2 linked regions of the Rattus norvegicus genome follow. The protein of the gene in region 1 interacts with the protein of each later gene in a biochemical or structural test. Links are inferred from orthologs where the notes say so. Each region holds a gene or a part of one and is shown in the gene's direction. Other genes may lie near its edges.

Region 1 (2,648 bases):
CGTGAGTGGCTTGGGATCCCTTTGCTACGTGTCAGTGGCACCCCAGACATTCACCCCCTCCCAGCCCCACCCAGCCTTGGGGATCTATGATGCCACGGTTGGGGGAAGGAAGGAGGGGCGAAGAGACAGATAAGGGACTTCATTGTCTCAAGCTCTGTATGACCGACCCCATGATGAGCCCCGGGGAGGGGAGTCATGGGCCCTGCTGACCTTTCACTGACTGTGGGAGCCTCCTTTGTACCGGGGCAATGCGGACTGACATCAGTGTGGCCTTTGCTTCCCTCTCCCTGTGTTCAGGTGACCCGCAGGGCCCTATTCCCTGGAGACTCTGAGATTGACCAACTCTTCCGGATCTTTCGGACTCTGGGGACCCCAGATGAGGTGGTTTGGCCAGGAGTTACTTCTATGCCTGATTATAAGCCAAGTTTCCCCAAGTGGGCTCGGCAGGATTTTAGCAAGGTTGTGCCTCCCCTGGATGAAGACGGACGGAGCTTGTTATCTGTAAGTGTCCGGCCACAATAGCTGCCCTCCCACTCTACAGAGAAGAGCTTTTCCTGGATGAAGAGAGCCCAAATCTGTTAGAAGTAGTACTGGGTAGCCCTCGCTTCCTCTCTTCATCAGTAGGCTGGTTCAGATGCAGGGGGAGGGAAACAAGAACTGGGTGAGAATACTGGTTCCCAAGTTTCTCAGTGCACCTGCTGTCCCTTTGGCCCACTGCCCCATCACTGAATTCAGACTGTATTTCTCTCTCCAGCAAATGCTGCACTATGACCCCAACAAGCGGATTTCAGCCAAAGCAGCCCTGGCTCACCCTTTCTTCCAGGATGTGACTAAACCAGTGCCCCACCTTCGACTCTGATGTCCTTCCCAAAGCCCTCTTCACCTGTGGTCTGACCTGATCCTGGGCCTTTTGGACACAGGTCAGCCTTCTGCTGTTTTCTGGCTGTCTTAGCCTTTTCTCTGGGCCAGCCGGTTCTGGGGATTCAGAGGTGCAGAGAAGGATTAGGTGAAAAGGGAGAAAGTTTTGGCATTAGATGCACTTAACCCGACTTCCAGCTTCTCTCCCTCTTCCCAGTCATCACTGAGAAGGATTAGTATTGAAGCAAAACTGACAGTTCTCCCCAGTGTCAGATTTTGCCATCCCAACCTTAAGACTGTCTCATAGTTACCGTGTTGAGGGAAATGCCCCCAGACTCCTGCTGACAATGTTTTCTAAACTAATGAGCAGAAGCCTAAGTTGGGACAGTTCAGAACCAAGCAAGAGGGGTCCATTTTAATGAATTAGAGTAAAAAAATAGACCTAAGCCATTTGTACCTTAGTCTTAGTGTTTGGCCTCATCTAGCAACCAAGGAAGCCTGGTTGGAGAAACAGAAGAAATGATTCCCTCCAGAGCCCTGTCTCCCTTCCCCAGGCAAGAAGAGCCAGGAGGGCACAGGCTTACGCTTCACTCTGATCTGTGTGCTTCACAGGGCAAGGTGAAAGACACTTGAATTTCCCTTTTTAGCAATCTTACTGTTTTCTGGTGCTGCCGGCTGAACCCAGGACCTTGCCCTCACTAAGCAAATGTACCTACCACCAGTGAGCCAGATTTCGTTCGAGCCCTCCTTTGGGAAGTTCAGTTCTTCAGTTGTCAGAGAGCCTTATTACCATCTTCCTCTGAGAGCCACCCTCACTCCTAGTAGTGGAAGCGAGCTAGGAGACATTTCGAGAATGCTGATACTTTTTAAAGGCTGGGTTAGGTCATTGGGGGAAATTTTCTATAAAAGAGTGAACAATTATATTTATATTTTCAAGTTAGAATAGTTTGGATATTTCAATGGTTTTTTGTTTGTTGTTTCTTTTTTTCTTTTTTGTCAGTGTGGATGGATTTGTTACCATGTGCACTTTGGGATTTTTTTTTTAATTGTTTAAAGAAAATATTTCTTTTATGATTTCCTTCTCCCACCCCGTGTTGTTAATATTATTTGTAATTTAGTTTGTAATTCATTAAAAGAAAATATTCTCAGGTGTGTCCTCCAGTGTTGTTAATATTATTTGTAATTTAGTTTGTAATTCATTAAAAGAAAATATTCTCAGGTGTATAGTGAATCTCTTTCATATTTATCATTTATTCATTTACTTGAAAGAATGGTGTGGGTGAAATTCTGAATGAGAATAGTCAGTATATAGTTCATATCCTTCCACCTAATCTCTGTGTATGCAGGGCATCTGCCATGCGCTGTGGTGGGGTGTTTCTAAGGGTGGGGAAACTTCCTTCCTACTTTCCCCTATGCACACAGGCACACCAATACAGAACACCGTTTCAGTTTTTCTCTTAGCAGCAACTTGACTTGAGTGGGCTTCAGGGACATCCATCTCAACACCATTTCCCAGGAAGCTTTTACCATTTTGTGTAGGGTTTTGTTTGACTGTGAAATTGTGTGTACATGTGAGTCTCTAGTGTCCGCAGAGGCCAGGAGAGGACGCTGCATCTCTTCCAGAGGTACAGTCAGCTGCGAGCTGTGGGCAACGAGCAGCCAGCACGCTGTGGTACTGGGAACAAGCCTTGGGTCTTCTGGGTTCAACCCTCAGTACCGGAAAAAATCCTCAGCAAAGCTGTCCAAATATTTTTTCAAATTTACAAACAATTGAGAAAATATCAACAATG
Region 2 (3,654 bases), on another chromosome or scaffold:
AAAATGCCACTACTGTAAGTGGGACTGTGAAGGATCAAAAACAAGAGCAGAGTAAACCTGCCGGCTCGTTAACTGGGCTAGAAACTCTGCAGGATGTTCCACTACACAACCCAGCAAATAGGACTGCTGATAGTGACTTGCCGGGACCCCGGACGACTGGCGCAGGAGCAGGAGAAAAGCATAAAGAAGAGCCTACTGACAGTATGAAGGCCCCTGCTAGTAGACGCTGTGGTGAGGAAGGCAGCGTGCCCAGAGCAATGATCCCAGCTGTCACTGCTGACTTGCCTGCCTGCAGCCCAGCCAGTGAAACGGGCAGCGAAAACAGCGTGAGCATGGCTGCCCACACGCTCATGATTCTCTCTAGAGCAGCAATTGCTAGGACTACAGCAACTCCTCTAAAAGATAACACGCAGCAATTTAGAACATCTTCAAGGAGCACTACGAAGAAACGAAAAATTGAGGAATTAGATGAGTGTGAGAGGAACTCCCGCACTTCTAGTAAAAATCTTGCAAATTCATCAGTACCAATGAAAAAGAAGAAAATCAAGGCAAGTTTGAAAGTTTTCATTTCAGTTCCACTCCTGTCCCTTCCTTCAGAGTTTAGAGAGGTCAGAAGTCCTTGCTGCAGCTATATGACTAAATGTATCCTCAGAACCATGCACTTAGTATTGTTTCCTGGTCCCAACAATACAAGTTGTCTCTAAGGACATCCTGAGGACAAGTGAATGTTTCTGTCATGGTATCACCCAGGATTTTTCATGCAGATACAGAAGTGTGGGAAACTACCATTACGTGAATTACCATGGGGAGCACCACGCGTTCTCCATCTCTTCCACAGTCTGTAATGAGTCTGGCAGAGTAGCAGAAAAACTCATGTCCTTGTGTTTTAACCAGGATTGTCTGTAGTAAGGCAGTACAAGGATTGATAAATAAAATGCATTTACTTAAAATTACCGAAAAAATTAAATGGAAAGTATGTGAATGCCGTAGGGGAGAAAGTAAAAGTTAGAGAAGTGGCTTTTAGATTTGGTGTCCTGCAAGCCTGAGTTTGAATGCTGTATGGAGTGTGTGTCATTGCTGTGCCTGCCTATTCATGGCTAATCTGGCCTGTTCTGCCTCATCATTTAACCTAAAATCATAAGTCTCGCCCCGTGGTGTGGTAGTGTGTTATAGACTAATACTTTAAAAGCACCTCCTCTGTGTTAGCATTTGGAGCTCGGTGAGTGAGTGATAATGTGCGTTAGCAGCAGGGTCAGCTGGCAAAGGTGTGTGTCTTCAAGGCTGACCCACTATAGAATTCAATCCTTGAGAGCCAGGTAAAAGCAAAACCACTTCCAGAAACAGTCCTTTGACTTACATACACACATGTGCACGTGCAGAGAGTAAATCAGTGTAGTAAAACAGTATCTGTTGGTAATGCTTTGTAAAATTTACAATTTGACAAAAATGACCACCTTAAAGGAAGCATGTCTCTCTCGTCTCAGCATTCACATGTATATACTCTGGATTTCATTTGTGCCTTTTGCCCTAAACTAACATTGAATTAGGTTAGTAAAACCTCTCTGTCTTTCCCTATAGAAATAGATTGTAGCAAACTCAAAAATGATGCAATTTCATTATAATAAAGAATCTAATGTTTTAGGTGATTTGCTAAGAAAATTATCTGGCCTAGAGTTTATTGTTTTTCCTTCTTTTTTGTTTTTATTTTGACAGAAAAAGAAGCTACCTAGTTCATTTCCAGCAGGAATGGATGTGGACAAGTTCTTGCTATCACTGCATTATGATGAGTGAAGGACACCCTGACATAGAGACCAGTAGCTATTTAAAACTAGTGTCCTTCAGACTGCGCGTAGGAAATGGGATAGAGACAGACTGCAAACATGACCTGCACTTTGACTGTACTGAGGTTTCACTTTATATCTAAGTCATGCTGTTTCTGAAGCAGCTTCCTAGTTTGTAAATAGACTTTCATGGAATATTTGTATTTTAGACAAAAAGAACATACGCAGAAATGTAAGTAAACCCTGTCTGCAAAACTGTATAGCTGTGACACTGTATATTGTACATGTGTACATTGTGTAAAATAGAGCTTAAATCAACCTAACGTTCCCACACTGTCTTGATTGACTTCCTGTGATGCCCGAGGCTTATTCTTCTGGAGTAGTTTCTCATCTCCTTTGGAGGAAGATGATGATTATTCTTATAAATTACCTTCAGCCAATACTAGATAAGCCACTAAGTAAAAAATAATAATGATGACCACCTCAACTGGTTAGTAAAATATCTAATCAGAAAACAACAGTTTGATGATTTCCCCCTAGAGTCAATATTTTATCACCCTAAATAAATTTCAGTAAAATCTATATTTCTGAAGTTTTATACTTTATTCTGATCATCTATCCTCTTTGTTTTAAAGAGATTTTTATAAACCATTTATTAAGTGTTCTGATATTTCACTTACAACTTTTTGAAATTTTTTACAGAACATTAAGTGGTTAGACTATTGAGCCATAAAAATTTGAGTTGTGTAGTAGTCGAGATTTCTTGATTATATGTAAACTTTCCCTAAGCACTGGGAATACAAAGAATTGCACTAATTCATAGACTTTTCATATACTAGTGACCAATGCACATTAATTTAAATCTTGTATGTAAAAGCTTATATGGAGGATTGTCTTCTGGTGTCTTCGAAAGTCATGTCCATCTTAAGATGTAAAAATGAAAATCATAGTTATATTGTAATTTAGTTTACCCTCAAATGGGATATGTAAATAACTGTGTTTATACATAACCTATAGAACCTCGCGTTCTTTAAAGTGTTATAAATAATTACTCTCAAAAGGTCCTTAGGGGAGTGAGAGGTGCCTTCTCTGTTAGACTGACTCATAAACAACAGTCAAGTTGAAAAGCTGGCTTAAACTTTAAAGGAATGACAGAAATTATCATTAATACTTGACCGATTGTGCCTAGATATTGAAGTGTTTTCTTAAGTTCTTACTGCTTAAATATCAGTATATTAAGGTTTTTTTCTACGGGTGTATATTTTATTAAAAAGTCACTTTCTTCAACCATTTTTTGTACTGGGCCTTTAAGAAATAAATCCATCCAACTGTAACAACAAAAAACGTCTTCAATATATAAATTATGTCTTTTTACTTGCTAGATTTTACTGTACAGATTTATATTTTGAGAAATTTTATATGACTATGATATATACCTAAGGGACTAAGCATACAGCTAATGTTTATATAACTCAGCTTGGGTCTATCCTACGGTTAGGTTTGAATAAATATATTTTCATTAACTTTACCAGTTTGGATTTATATTGACAGTCCTATTTAGAAACTTTTGATTAAATTTATTTGTAGCTTAGTTAATTCTCTGTGTTTTTCAGGAATTCATGAACTCCCATCTGTGTGATGCATAATGAGAATCATATATAAATTAACTCATGCTATTTTTAGTCAGTGTCTTTTCTGTAGGTCAGGCTAGCTTTGAATTCATTACATAGTCCAGTGACTTTGAATTCCTAGTCCTCTTCATCTGCCTCCTCTTAAGTGCCAATATTGCAGGCATGCGCCATACACAGAGCTGCTTCAGGGTTCTTGTCAGGTTGCTTTTGTCTTTTTTAATATATGTACGCTGTGGCTGTCT

Evidence for each region.
Region 2: of the proteins of Cdk2 (region 1) and Npat, one has a biochemical effect on the other in vitro, tested with the Homo sapiens proteins (2 studies listed by BioGRID, with this or other methods). The link is inferred for Rattus norvegicus from reciprocal best matches to the Homo sapiens genes CDK2 and NPAT.

Annotation. Positions count from the first base shown.
Region 1 is NC_086025.1:1,713,750-1,716,397, reverse strand, and holds the end of Cdk2 (cyclin-dependent kinase 2), read left to right. Parts: coding exon of another isoform or gene 1-1; intron 2-297; coding exon 298-501; intron 502-754; coding exon 755-859; 3' UTR 860-2,006; downstream 2,007-2,648. UniProt on the Homo sapiens protein: Serine/threonine-protein kinase involved in the control of the cell cycle; essential for meiosis, but dispensable for mitosis. Phosphorylates CABLES1, CTNNB1, CDK2AP2, ERCC6, NBN, USP37, p53/TP53, NPM1, CDK7, RB1, BRCA2, MYC, NPAT, EZH2.
Region 2 is NC_086026.1:62,863,605-62,867,258, forward strand, and holds the end of Npat (protein NPAT), read left to right. Parts: coding exon 1-548; intron 549-1,713; coding exon 1,714-1,791; 3' UTR 1,792-3,461; downstream 3,462-3,654. UniProt on the Homo sapiens protein: Required for progression through the G1 and S phases of the cell cycle and for S phase entry. Activates transcription of the histone H2A, histone H2B, histone H3 and histone H4 genes in conjunction with MIZF.